Schizosaccharomyces pombe: one gene and its partners. The gene in region 3 interacts genetically with the main gene of each other region. Each region holds a gene or a part of one and is shown on either strand. Other genes may lie near its edges.

Region 1 (6,802 bases), on a different chromosome or scaffold from region 3:
ATTCGTAGTATATCCAATGAAATAACGATGGTTTAAAATTCGCTAAATGGAAAGCAGATAGTACTAACCAAGGCTTTCAATTCAATGAAGAGCCTTTTTTGTTACTCTCGTTCAAAGATATAGAATATTTTTTTTTTTTTAATATAAAGGCTAATTTTTCGTTTTAACATAGTTGCATGCAAAAGAAATTTATTTAGATATTGGTTGGAATGATTTTTCGACGACCAAAAAGTATTCGCATGCTACTTGTATGTAAAAGTTAGGTTGTATTAATCGTAACGACTACACATGAATTTGAAGAAATCTTCTTTCATTCTCTAATTCTGAAAAAAAGTGAATTGAGCAAAATAGTACTCCACGAGTTGCTAATGTGCTCAGGTACTATTCAAAACGATCACTGAACCAAGTGATGAATCTATACTCATTTTGAACAATTTATAGTCTCATGCATCTACTTATAAAATTATTTTTAAAAGTTTTACAGCTTATTTCAATCTTAATATTCTACAATTACTGCTCATGATGATATGTCTAGACCACAGTAGAAAATACTATTTCATTCAAGTTTAGTTTTCCAACTTAAGAGTCAAATGGCATCTACCACAGTAAAGGCGGTCCTTGTGGTTGGCCATGAAGGTGGACGCACCACAGTTGGGACACTCACGACGAAGACGCTTAACGCTTCCATCATCCTCAACCTTGTAGTATTTGAGGACGGCGAGCTCAACCTTCTTGTGCTTGTGCTTGATCTTCTTGGGAGTAGTGTAAGTCTTCTTTTTACGCTTCTTACCACCACCACGAAGACGCAAAACGAGGTGAAGAGTGGACTCCTTTTGGATGTTATAATCAGACAAAGTACGTCCGTCCTCGAGTTGCTTGCCAGCAAAGATCAAACGTTGTTGATCAGGAGGAATTCCTTCCTTATCTTGGATTTTGCTCTTGACATTGTCAATAGTGTCAGAGGATTCAACCTCAAGGGTAATGGTCTTACCCGTAAGGGTTTTTACAAAGATCTGCATCGTCAGCAAAGTATTGCCTCTTCCTCGCGGATGGAGGAAAATATTGATGTTGCATTGTGATATATGGATGCGTGACTGGTTTTAACTCACGTAGGTTAGGGTGTAACGCAAGTTTCTCGTACTGAGAATTAACGTTTGCGTTAATTATATAACACAATTTAACATTTCTCACAATTTTTAAAATCGTAATGCTGAAATGAAAATCCTGATTCCCTTGTATTAATATCGACAGTTTGTCACTAATTGATGTCAATTATATCCTATTGAATGATTCATATATGGTGATTTAGTGTAGTAAAGGCTTGTAAACCTGTGATTTTGTGTTTGCATAAGCTACGACGAGTTTTCGTATTTTTTGGTTCTTTGCAAATAGAAATGAATTATCTTTTCTCTTGCCGACAAAATTTCCTCCAATGACCAGCAATAATAGTTAAAACAATCATTGGTTTCTCTGTTTAAGTCATAGTGATTAATTTGTTGAATTATTATTATCATAATAAATGCTTGCTTGGCAGCATACTACAACCACTGTTTTCCAATGAAATACTTCGCATACTATAGTAATTAAATACAAGTTTTCCCTAGAAATACCAACTTAAACATATGTTGACTAAACATCGGTGCGAGTGAAAGCAAACACTAATTCTTACTCATGTATCCAAGTTGTTTGTCAGGTTTGGGGAAACTAGTTTTACCATTTCAGCCGTTCAACGATACGAACAACTTCATAGTTGTATTTCCATTTCACAAAGATTAATCTGTAGATTTTAGATGATGCAGAGTTATACACAATACTAGGGTGATGAATAAATATACAAAAGACAGATACAAGTTGATAAATTATCAAAATTGTCACAGCATTAGTTCATGTACGATGCTTGAATTTGAATTTATATAAAAGCAAATTAAAAACAATAATATTAGTAAAATTAAAAAATCCCAAAAAAAAACCAAACATAACTCATTATAATGCAATGCGATGCAAGTTGTACAGCTGTCATCATTAGTGCTGTCTGCGATCTACGCCGCCAACACATATATTTCTCTGCTTATGCCGATTTAAGGCATCAAGTCGGTTAAATCTCTTTAAGCATTCACATACATATGGCCTGCCATTTTCGTGAATCCTCAGATGACGCTTAAGATCGTGGTGACGAACAAAGCCAGCTTTGCATAAGTCACAGCGATACGGACGGTCGCTCAGATGTGTTTGAATATGCGATTCAACATTATATTTGCGAGCAATACGTTTATTGCACCCGTTGTACAAACAGACGTACTTTCCATCTGCTTCAGGGCCGCAATATAAGCTAGCCATTGTCTCCGGAGGAATTCTACAAATCCTAGTTGATTGCTTGCGAGTTTTGCATCTATGATCGTATGAAATTCTGACCGGAGGTTTGGAATCATGCTCGGTGACTTGAGGAGTAATTGATAAATCAGCAGATTCAATTTTTGGAGCTAATTGTTCTTCTTCCTTGACAGTGATACAAGGTTCAGGTTTCTTGGTAACTATGCAAGATTCATAAGGTGCACTTAATGCAAACTGCTGTGTCAAAGTGTTGTTGATATTTGCGTTCGATATGTCAAGTCCATGATCGCAAACGGATGAGAATTTTTCAAATTCAGAAACGTATTCAGCAGGTGATGATAACTTTGCAAACGCTTTCTGGTTGTCAGTATGCCTGCATACATCCAAATGGGAAAACGAAGAATCTAGAGCAAAGGAGGGCTTTTGAGGCGAAGTGGGCTCTAGCTTTACAAGTTGGGCAAATGGGGATACAGGGGAGATATTAGGTGCAGTCTCTGGACTCGATAAGTCTACAGGATGTGCCGGACTTGGTTGGGATATTTGAAAGTTCAATTCTTCAAATGAAGGCGCACCGTTTATCTCATCTAATCCAGGGGGAGAGGATGGGAGGAACATAAACTCATTAAATGATTCCAATTGCGAAGAGCTGGGAAGAACGGAAGAGGCAGGACCCGAGGTTTCAGGTATACTTGAGGAAAGGTAGTCGAAATTTTCGAGGTGATCTTTGTTGGAGCAAGTTTCCGTCTTTATTTCTGGTATGTCAAACTCAGGAAACGAAAGGACTTGTTGTTGAGAGTCCAGCTCATCAATCCAATTTGATGCATCATAACCAATTTCGGAAAAGGCCTGTTGAGAGTTGGTCAAGGAAAATGCGTCATTGTTATTAAAATTTTGCTCGGTATGGATTTGTGATACGCAAGTTAAAGGCGAGGAAGGGGGTGATAAGGAAGCATCAAAGGAGGATGCATACGAGTGAGAGTCGGGGAGCGATATTTGGTTCGATAAAAAGTATGCAGAATTCGCTTCCAACAAAGGGTTAAACGGTGTTTTTAGAACAGAACTATAGTCAAACTGATCTTGAAAGTTCTGAAGATGAGAAGGCGGTGAAGGGATAACAGCTTGATTTAAAGACACCTCATTTTCAAAGGGAGCGAAGGAGGAAAAAGAAGTATGCTTGCTATCGCCAAAAGTTTCATAATCCCTTTGGTACGAATGATTACAAGCTGGACTCTCTTCTTGTCGAAATGATTCAAACGACTTTTGCGAAGAAGATGATAAATATGAAAGCGACATTGTCTTGTTTACTTAGGATAGCGAGTATCTAGTGCAATGCGTAGAGAAATCAAGGAGAGAACGATGAGAGAAATGACTCTTGAAAAGAGTGCTTGATAACTTGAAGTGAGATGAAAGTGTGGCTCAAAGCCAGTCTAACCCAGTAGATGATTGAACTAATCACTCTTCGATTTTTTTTTGTTTGTTACAGCAATGTTTGGTGCGCTGGCTATTTGTTTATATCAAATAGCTACTCCGTTGCTATGACGACAATTGTTGAATTTTATGCTTCACTTTACCGCAAAACAAGTCACTATTTGTTTACATTGCATGGATTACCGAACCATATCACAACAACGCAATACAAGTGTAAACACAGACCCAGGGATTGTTTATTTACCTTTTGTTGCCAAAGGGACAAATCAACTATTTTTTGAATTAAACCAGTAAAAGGTTTGATTGAAAGACACTACCACTAATAAACAGGATAATCACGGCTATGAAAATGTCTACGCTTCAACAACTGGATCATGGATGATATTAGAAAACATAGATTAAGTATGACAAGCCAAAAAAAAACGGTAACCAACCTGAAAAAACGACAACGACGTTGAGATCAAAAACCTTAAGGTATTAGTATTAGTATAGAGCTAGCAAGAGAAAAAATGCCATGGAAAAGTTTTTAAATGCAATGAATAAGTTACTTACAACACTGACAATCAAAAGGGCAATCCGGTGTACCTCCACCTTGGCCAATGTTTAATTCCTCCTCGTCATATACAAGAAACCCTTCCTCGGTACGCTTTCCTAAAACACAAAACGTTAATACAATTACTGATGATAAGGAGAAAAGTGCCGTTGCTAGGTAAGTATTGCATCGTTCGGCAAACATTCCCGTAAACAGAATAGCGAATAAGGTTCAATACCACACAATAGAGCTTAATGATTTGGAGTCTCCACCAACACTAAACATCATTGTGAAATGTATCTCCCTAGAAAAACGTAATCTAGCTCTAGCAGTATATAATAAATAAATAAGTATATAGCACAGTTCGAAGTTTCTCAATCTTTTAGACAATAAATATGAATTTGAGGTCAAAGAATTGACAAACAACGCGGATGCCAAACATGAACGAATGCAATCATTAACCAAGTAGCGAGAACGTATGTAAGGATGAACTATCAAACGGCAAAAAGTGTCTTACTTCCTGAGGCTCCCTTTGGATCTAAAAATAAATCGTCTTGGTTATTAGTAGGTTTTGGACGACTTGGAGTAGATTTTGTCTTGGCTCCTTTCTTAGGGGCTTTCGCCTCCGACTTTGAGTCATTTGACTTTTCATTTGCAGGGTTTGCCTTTTTAGAAGCAAAAATGTCGTCGATTTCCATCTTTTAAATACTCGTAGAGAGGAGTTTGCCAAGTCAATGGCAATTGTATAATTGAGTAGAGAGACAGTTTGTTGTAGCTTGCAAACTTGCTAGAAATTCTTTTGCGGTACCGTGCTTCATAAAATAAGAATTCTCTAAAATGCTTAAATCTGCATAACGTATTCTCTCGTATTACGGTAAAGAATTTGTAATATTTATAAGAATGATTCTTCAGAAGAAACTTGTACCAGCATTAAGGCATGAGATTGATCGATTCCTTTTTTTTCCTTTGGTTCTTTATTATGTTTAAAATTGTTTAATTTTGTTTAGAAGCTGTATCACCTCTGTCATCGGTATTTCGAAACGGCAATAAAATGTAGACAATTCTTTGGCCAAGCTTTCTTTATAAAAGCATATTTAGGTCAACTCTATCCTAATACCATAAATTAACACTTTTTGTCTTCATTTAAGAAGCGAATTATTGCTGTATCAAATTAACAAATGCAAAATCTCATTGCTTAATAAACGAAATACTTTAGTAATTAAGCATAAGATAAAAATAAAGTGAATACTATTTGACAATGAAAATCAGCTCAAAACCTCTGTCAATTCTTTTTCAGCCTAGAAACCACCTTAGAGAAATAAGGCAAAACATTTGAATACAAATATACAAAACACAAATTATTAGTGGTAGAACAATTCAAAAAATTCGAAACCTCTTCTTCAGTTGATCAATTCATAATTAGAAATACAATTCCTTTTACAAAGTTTACTTCCTTACTCTGCAAAAGCGCCTCTATACATAGCAAACCGCAACAAAATTAAATACCTATATTACCTAAATTAAAAACATAACTTTTTTTTGACCAACAAAATGCCATGCTTAAATTGGCGAGACGTAAAAATGCCGTGCATTTCAATTTAACCAATGGAAACCTTTTCTCCTTCAGACTTTCACTCTTTTAGGACCGGACTCAAGCTCTTCATCATTTTCAGTGCTGCGCTTCTCCCCCAAAGGCTGAGTATTGGCTGAACTGCCAGAAACAATACGACCATACTGGCGTGCACGTTCATGAACACGCTTAGATGGTTCATCCTGTTTCATGAAACGATACCATTCATCAGGAGCTCGACGAAAAAGCTCGACCTTCCAGTTTGAGCAAACTTTTTTGCCATAGAAATCAAATTTGACGTCGTCACCACCTTCAGCCAACTCACGAACAATTCTTGTACGATAAAGCGGCAATGCCCTTGTGGCCTTCCACGCTTTATCTACAATATGCGAACCAGGAGCAGAAACAGCTAATGTAGCAAATGATCCGGAAAGGATATTGAGAAATTTTTTAAGAAATACCGGGTTTAAGTCTGATAAATCAAGAATTCCTTCTATCAAGTGAGAGGATACTGTTTCCAGACAATATTCCAAAATCTGCTCTTTTGAGAGATCTAAAACGCTATCTAATAATAACTGAATATGTTGTTTCTCACAGTGAAGCATTTCTTCTAACAGTTGAGCACCCAGTAAATTATTAACAAGTTTACGCTCTTTGTTTTCTGGGTTGGCTTTATCACGTTTATGCTTCGATCGGAGCAAGCATGGAATAATGTTGGCATCCTTTCCACTATTTGTTACGCTTGTCTGAATCATTGAAAATATGTCATCTTGATAACAATGTAAATGGTTACTCTTCTCAAGTAATGTCCTTAACACTGGAAGAAATGACTTCCTAATGATGTTGTCTGTATTCTTCTTTAATTCATCAATGACAGAACCAATCTCCTTCCTTCCCAACCTTCTTATGTAACGTTGCATTATAAAATTGGCTATAGGATG
Region 2 (7,030 bases), 900 kb from region 3:
CGTTTCAAAGATTGGGTTTATATCTGGGATTTAGAAGAATTTAAAATTGAAGCATTAATATTTTGTTATAACAATGTCAATAGTTGTCAGTTTCAAAAGAACTATAAATGTCACTTGAAAATGAATATCAGTCAACATACTGACATTTCCAGAGATTGAAGAGAGTACCCATTGTAAAATTTTGCTTTCATTTTAATTAAGAAAATCTAAATAAAATAGATAGGGATTTATTCCTTTGTAGTCTAATATTACAAAATTTAACTCAATCATGCAAAAAACAATATTACTCATTGTAAAGTTGATTCGCTACCGTTCGTATTCAGTAAAAAAGAATTTGTAGATGAAATAAACTTTAATTCAAAAAATAAAAATCAACACTTAAAAAATGTGAAAGCTGCAAATAGCAAATCTACTAGCTGTTCAAAACGCACTCATCGCCTATCACTATAAAACCCTAGTTTTGCGCTGGGACTTGAATATTGGGTATTTGGATAATTACCTTATTGATTGATATTTCATAAAGCAGAAATTAATTGAGTCTTTTCTGAATATTCATAACTTTTCGTTTTACGGAAATCTGGAGTTCAAAATGTCCAATAGTATTCTTAAAGTTCCTGATCAGAACCCTCAGGAGATAGTTGCGCTTTTTTCGCAACAGGAAGCATATGCAAAGCTTGGTAAATACAAAGATGAGATTTGGGATGTCTATCAGAAGGTGTTTATTGCAGCTTTGACTACAGGCGAAACAGTTTTAGCAAAAGTAAGGATTTCTTCATTCAACGAAGTCTCGATTGCCCTTTATATAGCACTATTAACTTAATTTTTTAATTTAGAAATGCTGGAATCGTTTAAATGATAGATTTCATAAATCTCCTAGGGTAGAAGGACTTTACGGCATGTTCTTGGAAGCTACAGCCAGCGAGAAAGATGCAATGAGTTATTACAATTCTAAGCTTTCAGAAGATCCAACTCATACGGTAAGATTACATGCCTTGGCTTATACTATATCAATTCGCTGCTATCTAAGCTAACTTCATCAGGTCATCTACAAACGAAAATTGGCTTTATTGCGTTCTATGGGACAAACGAAAGAATGTATTCAAGGACTCATTAATTATCTTGATACTTTTTATAATGACTTGGAGGCATGGGCAGAACTTGCCGATATATACGTGTCAGTGGAAGCGTAAGTCATAAAGAATTTCTGTTTATCTCTGAATTCTAATTGATTGTATAGGTTTGAAAGTGCTATATTTTGTTATGAAGAAATGGTGTTGCTTCAGCCTTTCGAGCCTCGACTTTTTGCTCGATTGGGAGATTTATATTTTGTTTTGGCTCAAAGTAATGCAACTAACTATTGGTTTTCGTTGAAGCATTATTGTCGCTCGGTTGAAATTTGCGAAGAGTATTTCCATGGTTGGTTCGGAATCTCAAAGGTAATTTATCCCTGCTTTTAACTTTATTTATTATTTCTTTGAATATAACAGGAATTTAATGATTAACAATTTAATAGTGTTGCCAACAATTACTAGAGTTATCAAGAACGGAACTGAAAAGATTATTAAGCAAAGTAAATGAAAAAATTTCCGATACATTCCCTGACACTGAATCTGTACGACAGCTCTATCAACTATCTTTAAAAAAGTCGGATCTCTTCGCTCAAAAGCAACCTAAGTTGAAGGCTTTATTGGAGCAATGCTAGAAGGGTATAGAATATGTGGTGTTTGTTTCTTTAGTTTTAACCAAAGTATTTGTTACTGGAAATTTACTCGATCTAATATAATAATTTGTGAAACTTGTTTATATCTTCTTCTTAATTGTAGAACTATGTGCGCGAAATTCTCGGTTTATCTTTTTGTCCTGAATTCTTTCGCCGTAAACTTTTATATAAACTTAAAGCCTTTTAATTTTAATTATATTTTACGGTCAATTTCAATATTTCTTTAGTTAAAAGTTACTAAATTTTTGACTGCTTGCAAGCCCCAGAGGTTATAAGTTTAATAGATCACTTACAAGTTTGTTAAAACACATATTCTAATACTTGATTTTTCAACATACCTGCCATAAGTATCAATCTTTTTGTTGTTTCTTAGTACGGGCGACGTGAAACCATAAAAGTAGTATACTGGGTGCTACGGCGAATAACAGAAATATGTTTCCAAAGAGAAAGTGCTTCCTATTTTTTCTATGAAAGTAGATTGATTATAAAAAACAAAGTTTACCTTGTCAAACTTCCCCATTCATTTACCTAATGTTCATTGCGGAATAGTGTTTTCTCTCGCTACTTATTTATCTTAAACGAAATAAGGATCGTTTAGTTGTACTCTAATGGTAACATTCAGTGAAACTTAAGACTTTATTAAAGCTTTTTATTGAGGTATAGCGTCTACGCTAAATATATTCAACGGTCTTAAACTTATAATTCCTTTTAATATCTCAGAGGGAACGTAAACAAAACATATTGTTGCTGCATTGCAGCATTTTAAGGTTACAACTCTTTTTGTGTATATTTTAAAGATGGAAGCAGAAGAGAGTGAGTCCTTTTCATATCCAATGTTGCTACCTTCTGACGGTTCGTTTTATAAACGAGATATCACTTCTTACTGACTTCAAATCTAGGACTTTATCCAGAAGACGATGATGATGCGGATATGGATCAGGATAAAAATCCTGAAGAAAATGTAATGAACGAAAAAGAAGATGAGGATGTAGACGCGGTTGATGAGAAGTCCGGTGAAGAAGACGTGGAGATGGATACAATGGAAGATGAAAACGAAAACGATGAAGATACTGAGCAAACCTCTGAAAAGAAGGAAACTGAAGAAACACCAAAGGAAAATCCACTTGAGAAATTAAAACAAAAGGCTTCAACGGCCAGCTTTTATGATGTGGTGCCTACCCTGGCAATCCCTATGGCTACCAGCATAAACGCATTTGCTTTCACATCGGATTTAAAATGGCTTTTCACTGGTGGGGAAGACGGATATATAAGGAAGTATGATTTTTTTCCTAGCATTAATGGTGATCTCTCCCTGACTGTTGCACAGAGACATCCCTTTGTGGATACAGTAACGAAGGCTGGAATATTACTCAACTACTGGGAGAATGCTTACGATGGAAATAAACCATCTTCGGTATATAGCCTTGCAGCTCATTCCAGAGGTCTTTGGGTTCTTTCGGGCGTCAATAATGGAGATATTATACTGTACTCTACAAGACATCAAGAGGGTTATCCCGTTACTTCTTTAAAAAAGCATACGGCTCCTGTTTCGTGTTTAGCATTACATGGTTCCGAGAAAAAAGTATTGAGTGGAAGCTGGGACAAAATGGTTTATTACTGGGACCTTAACACTGGTGATGCAATATCTACATACAATTGTGAGAGTGGTCAAATTTCGAATATAGTTTATCGTCCATCAGGCGCTGTAAATCCTTGGGGTTCTGAATCGGACGACATGCGTAGTTTGTTCGGTACACCTGCGTCTTCCTCTTCTTACGATGCACTGTTTGATGAAGAGGTGGAAAAAGCCATTGAAGAAGAAACTAAATCTGTTCAAGCAAATGAGGAGAACGAGACAGAAAAACCCTCTCAAACCGAATCTACTACTAACAATGACAACATAAAAGCTCCTTCCGAATCTTCATCCGAAGAGTCCAATATTTTCTTAACGACGTCTATAGATGGAGTTATGAATGTATGGGACCATCGCATGGTCGATTCTGTTCTCAAATACCCCGTCCCCAAGGGTGTACCACCATGGGCTATGTCTGCATGTTGGAGTCCGGATGGAAATAATATATATATTGGCCGCCGAAATGGAATCGTCGAAGAATATAACATTCACTCTGGCAAGGAGCCTGTTCGCTCTTTAAAAATGCCTCTCGATTCGGGTCCTGTTTCAAATGTCTATTCGATGCCGAATGGCCGTCACCTTGTAATTTCCTCCTTTGATAATATCCGCCTTTATGATCTTCAAAGCAAGGCCGGCATAGGGTTCTTAATTATTCCAGGTCATCATGGAGGTCTTGTCAGTTCGCTTTATGTAGACACTTCTTGTCAATTCATGTTTTCAGCTAGTGGAAATCGAGGATGGCAAGGAACTACTACTGAAGTGTTCCTCGGATACCAAATAATGACTTCATAAAATGCTTTCTCTAAAACACATATTCGCAATAATGTACATTATGATAATAGACTGAAAGGAAGTGGGTTACGATTTAGTCGGTCAAATACAAAATGGTCTTTGAAAGGCACTTTGGATTTTGCCTTAGTAGGGTCAATTATATGCCTATTGTCGTTTAACTTTAAAAATCTTTTTGAATTGTCTCCCTTTCAACATTTGAAATAAACATCTCAGTTAAAGTTTTTAGAATAATTGTTAAGCCCATGCACTCTTCATTAGTTGATTGCTTTTTGGGTTTTTGGTTACTCTCTAAATAATTTGAGGTAAGTTTATAAATGTTTCCTTAAACCTATTTCCCCTTTTTTGCCGAATATAATAAACTTAGGTATTAAGCTGAGATTGTTGGTTATGAACTTTCTGACAAATATGATACACAAATCGTTTTGTTTGTATAACATGTATTCTAAAACTTTCCTCTACTTTAATTTTCAATTTGGAATTTCCTAATCAATTTAATGCCATCCATCCGCTTTATTATTTGTTGATGTGTCAATTGCCAAACAAAAATATCAAGGACATGCGAAACTCTTGTCTAAAGAAGCAATGACCGTATTTAATGAATTTTTTTCGTTTGATTCTGTAGAAATTATGACTTAAATTGTGTATTTATTTTTTAAGTATTGATGTGTATAACTGTTCGTATCCTAATATTGGAACTGACTCTCAAACATTCTATAGAATAAACAAAATCTTACTTTATTGCATACTGAGAGTTATTGTCTCATAAATAAATCAAGCGTCTGTATGTTAATCGGATCTTATAATGGAGCTAGATTGCTTGACCGCCGGAGGTTAAATTTGAGTTTTCCTAAATCGTCTCATTAATTATTGGTTTTTTGAAGTTTATTTTCTATATCTATCTTGATGAATAGAATTAGGGCGTGTTACTAACTTTTGGGGAGTGACACAAGAAACCTTTCCAACGCACCTAAATGAGGAATTCAGTGGAATTCTCACAGTTAGGGCTTAAAACGGCTTTTAATTTATCTCAAAATAAAACTTATACCTCAGCAGTCAAGAAACAATTCTTTAGTACTGGAGCATTTTTAAGCAATGGGGGAAATATTGATTTAAATAAACACACTCAAAAGAACATTGATTCAAAGTACGTTGCTTGCAACTCAAGATCTGTAACACCCCCAAATGATGTTGCTTCTTCAGTTTCTAAGAATACACTTCGTCATAAACAACGTTTAATGATGGCTCAATGGTTAATGTCTCCCGAAGTACAGAAAGCAAAGTCCTCATCATCTGGTAATGTAGGCTTGGGACCTAATACAAATCAGCCCTTCCCTTTAAACCCTTTTTTTAAGCCTCCTAGGCCTATATCTCATTCTTTGCGTATGAAAATTACCGATGAATACTTGCAGGGTGCAAGTATAGAAGTGCTTGCTCGAAAATTCAACACATCTCCACAAAGGATTGAAGCTCTTATAAAGTTGAGAAGAATAAATGATGAATTCGAAGAAAAAAAGAAGCCGATTCTTCATAGTTATAATGAAGTTATGGAGAAAATGCTGAACGCATGTACTAAACCTGAGATGATGCAGTTTAATGACGGAAACGATATTCCTTTGCGTTCCAATCCAGTATCCCTTTGGAAGAGTTTGCCTGAGGGAGAAACGTTTACACCTCAAGAGGCTGCTAAAATCCTGAAGTGGCCTTCGATTGAGGAATTAAACATGAGACAAAACGCTACTCACTTCCACAAAACATCTGATGAGCACAAAGATTTGAATGAAGATGAAGAGCTAATTTCTTCAAGCCCCAGCGAAGTTGGGAAGCGTGTTTTTAGGCTCATTGATCTTTCTACTGGTAATGTGTATAGAAGGGATACCGGCGGGGATATTTATGTTAAGAGAAAAAAATCTACTACCTGAAAATCAAGCATTTATTTCCCGTTTTTGAAAGAAAATTTACCCCCTTAGCATGCATTAGCGGCAGTACAATCCATTTCAAACTTTTGCGAAATAAAATCTTGAATTGTTACAAATTCACTCAGCAAATTCTTCTAGTTGTTGCATTATCTAAAAGTTATTTGTACATATAAAAATTGCATAGTTTTTTTTGCTTTCGTTGCCATATTGACTTTTTCAAATTAAACAAAGAAACTTTTTTTAGCCGTTTAATACAAATACTGATAAGAAGGGTTGCACATACGATGAAACAGTCTATACAACACTGTGCTTCAGTTTGATTTAGAACAGAAACTTATCTAACATATTAAATATACATTGTGCCAGTTTCAGAAGCGATGAACACTATATTGTATGGTTCATAACGCCGTCAACCAATTCTGTGTCAAGTCCAAATTCTTCTTTTATGCTTTCAAAGTAATCTCCAGCAATGACATGATTTAGTTGTTCTACGACTTGCTGAATTACTATGTCCTTTTTCGTATCTCCCATGATGATGTCGAGATGCTCATAGTTAGGAATCTTTAATTTTAACTTGTTAGTTTCCACTTAAGTAAATGAAGCTACAACTGTTTCAGAACATACCTGAATGCATTGAGATAATGGTGGAAGTTGGGTCTTGAGTGTTTCAATGTCCACCATGTTATCGTTACTGCCATAAACTAAAGTAATAGGTAGACGTATATTTTCAATCGGATAGCGAGCAATTCGGTTAAGATTTGTATAGTAACTTGGCTTAAATCCTGGACTGTCATCGTACATTTGTAATACTTTGCGACGCGTAATTTGAGCCCAATGTACAAAGCATTTGACAGAAGTAAAGGAATATAGATGGGAGTATGCAACGATTTTCTGAGTTTCGGAAATATTTTTTCCGGTCCAGCTCAGAAAAAAGCGAAGAAACAGATCAACAATTTTTGCAAAAACTGG
Region 3 (7,919 bases):
ATTGCAGATTATATGACTTTCGAGGGAGGATACAAAGCCTTCAATAGAATGGGAATAGAATATAACACTTCTCCATTTGCGAAAATGTCTTTTGAGACCACTTGTCACTTTTTGACTGAGGCCGCCCTCCGTGGTGATGTTGATGACTTATCCAATCCTTCATCTCGGTTAGTCGTTGGTCGAGTCGGTAACTTTGGCACCGGTTCTTTTGACATATTCACCCCTGTAGTCGATTCTCCTGCAAACTAAAAAAGGTATATTTATTGCGGTTGGGGAATAATTTTAGAAAAATGTGTGTTTTGACAAAATAAAAGATTTTGGAAATTAAACCTTTATTGGCTACTTGTTACAAAAATATATAAAATAAATAAATTGGGTTTTGGAACTAATACTTGTCATATAAGTTTTAGATAGGTTACCACAAATAAAATTACGTTTAATCTACAACTCTTACATAACACAAGAGATAAACTTCTAAACGCTATAAGCGTATACTATGTTTACGAAATATTCATAAAGCTTTATATTGCTAATGTGACTATTAGATATGCAACTGGGAGAACAATTCGCCGGATATAAATTAAAAGCTTTCGTAAATTTAAAAAAATTGCGCACGCAAATGAACAAGTAACATCGGGGGTTTGAAAGTTTATTAAGCAACCAAGGTAAAAGATATGTGTAAAATTAGGAATTCCCATAGCAGTCTTTAACTAGAACGAAGAAATATCACATTAAATAAAGCATGGATAAAAAGTAGATAAGTGCTAAAACAAATTTAGAATAGTGTTGAAGTTTGACGAAGAAGTGGCATTTTCCTCTTGGTAGGAGAAGGCAAGTAAGTATCATCTTGCGCGGCTGAAGAATGAATAGTAGTTGCTGAAGAAATATATTTTCTACGCACCTCACGTTTAACAGGAGACACTTTTCGATTGCTATTAAAGTCGGAAAAGTGATTTTCAAAACTCAACATATCCATGGGATCCAAAAAATCATCTTCAAAGGTATCAAACGACTTGCTCATGGGTAGCTTGCTTGGTGTTTCTAAGCCGGCAACGGAACTAATGTTATTGGTAAAATAAGATAATGATCCTCCATCAAGTAAGCTATCACCTTTAGGACTTTCAGATAGCGTTACTTGTTTAGATGCATCTCCATTACGTAGAATTGAAGACTTCAAAGGCGTGACTGACCAAAACTCTGCATCAGATGATGTTAAAGATGATAATTGCTTTGCATCAGGTGTAGCCAGCATTTGCAAGATACGAGTTCGATGCTCCTTCAAATTTGTATTCGGACTTGCTGAGATACCACTCATATCAGAACGGATGGGTGAAAGTAAAGAAAACTTAGTGTAGTCATCAGCCACGATGTCATCACGAAAGCAAAACAATTTAGGACACAAGGCCTTCGGGGGGGTTGGAAAATCAATAGAATTTGATCGCTTTAGCAAAAGTCCACTGGGATTTTTTATGGTAGGCGAGCTAGGTAAAGAAGGTAAACGGACTGCAGGGATCTGTAGGGTATTAGTTGTACCATCTTTTAAACCTTTCTTGCCGAGATTCGTTACAGTGTCATTAAAACCCAACACGGAATCATGAACTGAAGGGGTTTCAACATCCTTCTCCAAATGTGATACAGGTGGACCTTCTACTGGTGCATCATCTTTATTCAAACCCAATGATTTAGCTGACTTTATTCCCAAAGATTCATTCCTAAGTGATTCAGATGGAGAAGCACTGGATGCTGGTGATGACAAAGGAGGAGATGGAGAATTTGTACATGATTGTAAAGGAGAAGTTACAGATACGACAGAGGAAACACCCAAATCGGAAAACTTAGCTTCCAAATCAGAAGGTGCATCGATACCAGGGGTATCTACATAGGGTTGTTGACTATGAAGAGGATGAAAATTTGTGGCATTAACATTAGAGATCGTCGGAATGTTCGTTAAGGATGCAGTATAATAATTCTGAAGATATTGATGTCGCTGATTAAATATATGGGGAGAAGTATTAAACGTGTTAAATCCAGAGGAACCGGTAGAAGATCCATATTTTGTAGAGGAGGTAACGTCTTGAACAGGAGGCGCTGGTCTTGAATTTACTCCTGGTTTACGCAGCTTTAGTTTTAGAAATTGTTCTTCATGACCAGGACGAATGCTCCAAAAATGACCCTTCCCCGGTAAATTTCTAGGACGTTCAATTTTCATGAATGCCTTATTTAGACTTAAATTATGGCGGATGGAATTTTGCCAACCGTTATTGGACTTATTATAGAAAGAAAAAGTATTGCTGATCCAATCATATATAGCACTTAAAGTGAGACGACGATCGGGAGAACGGATTATTGACATTCCAATTAACATAGCATAGGAATAAGGAGGTTTCTTTCCATCATCTAGGGGTAAGAAAAACTCCTCCGGTTCTTGAGACTGAGAAGAAGATACAGAAGGGTTTCGATATATAATAGTATCCAAAGATTGCTCCGAAGGAGGAGGTATGGGAAGAGGAGGAACAGAATAAGTCAATCTAGTATAAGAAGGTATATATGGTCGAGTGGCTTTTGAAGAAGGTTTTTGAAAAGATGCAATGTTATTTTCTTTTCCGCCTGCAACTACGCCCTTCAACTTTGAAGCAACCTTGGGATAAGGTGGTAAAGATTGCAAAGGAATTTCCTGATAAGCAATTGGGAGTTCAGAGTACTTAGAAGCATTGTTAAGGTTTTTTTCATGAGTAAAATAATAAGGGTTAGTAGAATTAAAATTCATGAGGAAGATGTTCAGACAAATTGAATAATAAAACAAAAATTAAAGCACCGTTAGATAATGGCAATGCCAATAATAATAATGATTAAAAGAGAAAACCAATTAAGGGAAAATAATAGTAATAGTGAATACTACTATACTCCGGACTTACACAAACATAGATTGTCAGTATGCGGACCAAAAAGAATGAAGTATTTTGCAAAATTCAAAGATTTGAAAAGAATTAATAATAATAGTACTCAAAGGACAAAAAAAAAATTGTCCGACCTTGGATTCTCGCACTAGTGTTACGACAAGGCACGATTCCGAAGCACAAAAAAAAGAAAGAAAGAAAGTGTGGTGCTCTAAATTCACAATCCTTTACAACCAAAAATAAAGTCTTAAGTCTAAGACAGAAATAATTATAGAAATAGGTATTACAGTATAGGAAGCAAAAGATACAAACTCAATACTGGATGCTGTCAGAAACGAGAGAAATGCACAACGAGATACTAATATTGCATAAAAATATTAAGATTTGTAATAGTGATACACAATCGTGTCAAATATCCTTTCGTATCAAATGCTCCGAATTGCTCCAATTTTGGACGTTTGCCAAAATATGAGTGTACGAGATGAGATAGAAATCTCCACCTCGTGAAAGCGGATCCTCTATTTTAGTGACAATATGTCATAGAGCCGAAAAATCGATTACGATGTTGGGTTGTGAGTATTTTACTAACAGTAATAAGGGTATACGTTATGATACGTTAAGCTGCCAATTATCCTCCTTCATTAAGTATGCCCTTAATTTGACACATTTCTGGTTCCATAGTATTAACCATACAGTAAAACGTTGTTTTATTTTTTGAGGTCCTATAATTAGAAATTTAAATGAAATGAGGCACTAGTTTCAGTTATGAAATATTTTTTTAGTGAATAGCTATAATATTATCTTCATACTAAAATATTTAATAACGTCGGATGTTCATGCAACTTAAATATTGCTATAAAGAGAGTATAAGTTGAAGTTGAGCTTAGTCTAATCATATCAGTTAGTGGTTGACAAATTTTAGGTGATTAATACATTTGGTTAAGAATCAATAGCATGCGTTATATTTTTTGTATTATTTCAACAATAACAATAACGATGATTGATAAATTGACTTGGCTTAGAAACTCATTTAGTTAATAAAATAATAATATTTCAATATTTGGAAGCTAATAATATTCTTTGTCACATAACTGAATCGAGAAGTTCACGGAGCTAATCAAGAATACTTCTTTTTATTAAGGATTTAGACAAAGTAATCATAGTAGCAATAATTCGAGCAAAAATAGCGTAGTTCTATAGATTTCAATTAAAATATTAGACAATTGAAGGGATGGCACACGATTCCTACACATTTACATTGAAAATTGCAAGTGCCAAGCTAATTTCCCAATTTTGCAGTCTGCACACATTCAAAGTTTGATTACAATATTTCTTTCAATGCCGTACTTCTAAAATTTTAGTTACTAGAAGAAAGTTCAAAAACCACTGTGTACAAAGTTTTAGTATGTGTCAAGGTTGCAACACGGAAAGCAAATTGAGTAGAAAGAAAAAGGTTCTGTATTTAACATAGAAGGATAGAAGAATTATGTGTCCGAATTTCTAAATTTGAAAATAACTACTATATGAACCAATGCATCAGGCGAACTGATATGTCTCGTTTAACATTAAGAGAAAGACAATATTCAAGAACACATTAGACGAGCAAATAAAAATTTTTTGCGTTTTCTTTTATAATAACTTACTAATTATGTGGTGAAGTTTAAATATAGTGAAAACCAGGCCATGTTAATTTATGAAACCAAATAGCATGTCAAAAAAAAAGAAGTTTTCAGCGTCTAATTATTGATTTGCTTCTATCGTCAAAATGCAAAACATTGTTTTCCATATCTTCATTGCACTAGACACGTCAGTACCTATTTTGGAAATGAATGCTACATGTATTGAATTAAATTTGAAGAACTTGTAATTAGCATTTAAACTTTTAAAAGTTTTCTCTTGTATTTTTATTTTTTTAATAGGTTATATCCACAAAAAACGCTGATTGGCGCTTACTACTAACTAACTACCACCATATTGTTTTCCTAAATTATGTCGAATTTGCGAATTGTTTGTCAACATTGCCCTTCAGTCGTATTTAATAACAAACGTCCAGATGTTGTTAAGAGGCCAACAATGTCAGCTATGCTGCATTCTGAAACACAAGAAGATCTAGAAACTGACGATTTTTTTCTTCTAAAAGATCCGTTTGCTTTCGACAACGTTAGCGTATCAAAACCCTTAGCAAATAATTATAAATTACTTGCTTGTGCTGATTGTGAAAAAGGTCCGTTGGGCTACTATGATTCTAAGAACAATGAATATTTATTGCTGTGCTCATTGGAGAAAAACTAAGCTTAATAATAAGTTTATCAAACAACTGTGCTATTTATCTTGGTTATAGCATATTTTTGTAAACGTTACTTATTTGATATGGAATGGTCTTTTCCATGTGTCTTTTTATTCTTTATATTTTTTTAGAAGACTTGCAACATGGCCTTACAAAAGACAGGTATGTTGTGGTTTCATATTGAATAGTAACCACGAAATTAGGTATATTTAAATGGAATTATAATGTTTGTTTCTTATTAAAAAGTTCTTTTGTAGCTTACACCTTTGTTGTGATTAGATTTTAATCTTATCGGGTATTAAATGAAATTAACCTTGACTAAACAAAATATACCTTACGATTAAACCAATGTTTTTTTAGCACTAATTTAAAATTTGAAGAAAGCACAGTGAATGTGTTGTACATATAATCAGCTTTTGTCTTCGTAATTACCGATAGATATAAATCGGACAAGAGATATAATCTAAGAGCATAAAATTTTATAACTGTATCTATATTTTATTCAAAAAAGAAAAAACCAAAAAAAACCGTGATATTAAATAAAAAAAAGGAATGATAATTATATGGTATAATTGGAATCCCAAATACATGTAAATGCTTCATTCACGTGTTAATATACGGCAACGCATTATTCATAGTTATCCAATTCAAAAGTATTTGACTGTTGCACCGTCAAATGCAGGTGAAAGAACTAAATATCTACACTTGACACCGTGTTTTTCAAAAATGCTAAGCATTGCATGGGCAATTTCGTCGAAATTTCCGGTTGCTAGTGCAAGAACGGTAGGACCAGCACCAGAAAGACAAATGCCGCACAAACCAGGTTGAGTGTCAGGGTTAAGAGTTGCAAGAATGTTCTGCAAGCCTGGGATCAACGAAGCACGATATGGTTGGTGAACTTTATCCTTCATCACTTCATAAACTAAATGAGGATTTATGGGAGTTTGGCCTAACGCAGTTGTGAGCAAAGCCAAGCGTTGCAAATTATAAACCACATCAGTTCTACCATAAGAAGTAGGAAGCACACTCCGTGCTTTAGAAGTTGCTAAATGGAATTCAGGGATTACGACAATTGCCTTTAATTCAGAAGCCCATGGAAGCCTGGCAAAAGTACCTAAAGACTTGGGAGGTAAAGTTAAGGCTTCGTTTTTCAATAAATCATCAGCAGATGGAGAAAATGCATTCTTTTCTTCCTCAGATAGTTCTCTGAGAAATGAACCTACGAATCCACCCATCATGGACGCCATTACATTGTCTGGGTGTCTTTCTATCATTAGAACATAATCCATCATTTGCAGTTTGGATAGACCAAGTTTTGCAATCTCGTTTGCAAGCATAACACCTGCAATGGCAGCCGATCCACTAGATCCCATACCACGACCGAGAGGAATGGGATTTATAACGTGTATTTTGGTAGCATAGGGAAATGTAGAAATGTTGTTGCAACGTAAGACATATAAAGAGGTTTGTGTTATCATGTTTTTCTGGACATCCAAGGAAACGTGTTCCTTACCGTCTCCTTCATATGTCAAGACACAAGGTCCGCTTTCTGTGGATACTTCCACATCAAGGGTCATGTATTCCTCAAGAGACATTCCCAAGACATCGAAACCAGGTCCAATGTTAGCGGACGAAGCTGGAACTTTTATTTGAAATTTCTGCATTCTCACAAAAAAAGCAAACACCACAAAAGAAATGAGTTTGTTTTAATAAAAATTAAATATATATATATATATATCTGTTAAATAGTAAAAAATAATGAACGGTTTGACTTGAAGAAAACCGACTCTATAATCGTACGGCTTGCTAGAAGCAGGAACAAGTTGAAAGATCGCTTTAATATGCACGAAATATTTTAAAAACAAGGAAAAAGAGAAATGCAAAAATTACGAAAATAATATAACCGCGAACCGATAATTTTCAAAATATTTCCAGATCAAAAAAATAATAAGTATCTATTCCCAACAATCAAATTGCTCGTAATTAAAAAGTAAAAACAATAAAAAAGAAAGGTTGATAATTTGAAGGAAATGAAAAACCCAAAAAAGCCTCGCTTTCTATGAAGATATAGGCAAAGAATAGTTTTCGCTGCCAGAAAGTTGCAATGTTTACTACCTTTAATTCCCGATTTAACACGACAAAATCACCGGACACACTCAATAAAAAGTTAAATTGTGCGCAATCAAATTGCTAACAAGAGTGTTATCGTGCGCTGAAAATGCTGTGAAAAAGGTAAAATTTGATGTTGGTAAAGATTTCGTGCACATCGGGAATCCCCATAAGCGAACCCCTAACTCGAATACGAAATTACGCACTCGAATGCCTAATCTATTAAGTTGATTTTGATTTGAAAAGTGTCATGTTACCCGCACTTTTTCGCAAAACCAACTTGAAATCCGGAAAACTGGAACAAAATGCAGTTTGCAGTTATATATTATCTATATATGTTATATAAGAGAAATTTTTTTTTCGCCAATTTTATTCTAATGAACTACCAACACAAGTTCTGTAATATAACGAATTGTGCTCGCATCTGGAATGTTTAATTAAAGAAAATTAACGCAACACTAAGTACTTTATAGAATCGGAGCATATTGAAACGATGCAGCGATATTGTACATTACAAAGATAACAGTCAAGATTTTCTCTTAAGCAGAAATTGCACGAATGGAGTCTAGCAAGTACCAAGCGCGTGCTAATTAAAAAAGCCGTTTTTGAGCTTCTTCTTATTATAG

What was found.
Region 1: of sep1 (region 3) and ace2, changing one enhances a phenotype caused by changing the other (phenotypic enhancement), as found in Schizosaccharomyces pombe (one study listed by BioGRID).
Region 2: of sep1 (region 3) and spt8, changing one enhances a phenotype caused by changing the other (phenotypic enhancement), as found in Schizosaccharomyces pombe (one study listed by BioGRID).

The regions. Positions count from the first base shown.
Region 1 is NC_003424.3:3,237,344-3,244,145, forward strand, and holds ace2 (DNA-binding transcription factor Ace2), read right to left. Parts: upstream 3,811-6,802; 5' UTR 3,625-3,810; coding exon 2,023-3,624; 3' UTR 1,889-2,022; downstream 1-1,888. Other genes in the region: ubi3 (ubiquitin-40S ribosomal protein S31 fusion protein), read right to left, coding at 567-1,019; SPOM_SPAC6G9.01C (uncharacterized protein), read right to left, coding at 4,220-4,227, 4,312-4,410, 4,809-4,989; RNA-binding protein Nop9, read right to left, coding at 5,915-6,802. UniProt on the Schizosaccharomyces pombe protein: Regulates the transcription of genes required for cell separation.
Region 2 is NC_003423.3:2,231,198-2,238,227, reverse strand, and holds spt8 (SAGA complex subunit Spt8), read left to right. Parts: upstream 1-2,449; 5' UTR 2,450-2,517; coding exon 2,518-2,572; intron 2,573-2,619; coding exon 2,620-4,145; 3' UTR 4,146-4,767; downstream 4,768-7,030. Other genes in the region: TPR repeat-containing protein Oca3, read left to right, coding at 590-760, 834-977, 1,041-1,186, 1,238-1,436, 1,514-1,702; bot1 (mitochondrial ribosomal protein subunit S45), read left to right, coding at 5,117-6,064; SPOM_SPBC14C8.15 (triglyceride lipase-cholesterol esterase), read right to left, coding at 6,446-6,622, 6,686-7,030. UniProt on the Schizosaccharomyces pombe protein: Component of the transcription coactivator SAGA complex. SAGA acts as a general cofactor required for essentially all RNA polymerase II transcription. At the promoters, SAGA is required for transcription pre-initiation complex (PIC) recruitment.
Region 3 is NC_003423.3:3,132,720-3,140,638, forward strand, and holds sep1 (DNA-binding forkhead transcription factor Sep1), read right to left. Parts: upstream 3,386-7,919; 5' UTR 2,768-3,385; coding exon 776-2,767; 3' UTR 501-775; downstream 1-500. Other genes in the region: DNA-directed RNA polymerase I complex large subunit Nuc1, read left to right, coding at 1-249; dss4 (guanyl-nucleotide exchange factor), read left to right, coding at 4,887-5,189; thr1 (homoserine kinase), read right to left, coding at 5,832-6,848. UniProt on the Schizosaccharomyces pombe protein: Required for promoter sequence element PCB-driven, M-phase-specific transcription. Acts as a transcriptional activator with a role in the regulation of mitosis. Regulates septation and the periodic transcription of cdc15.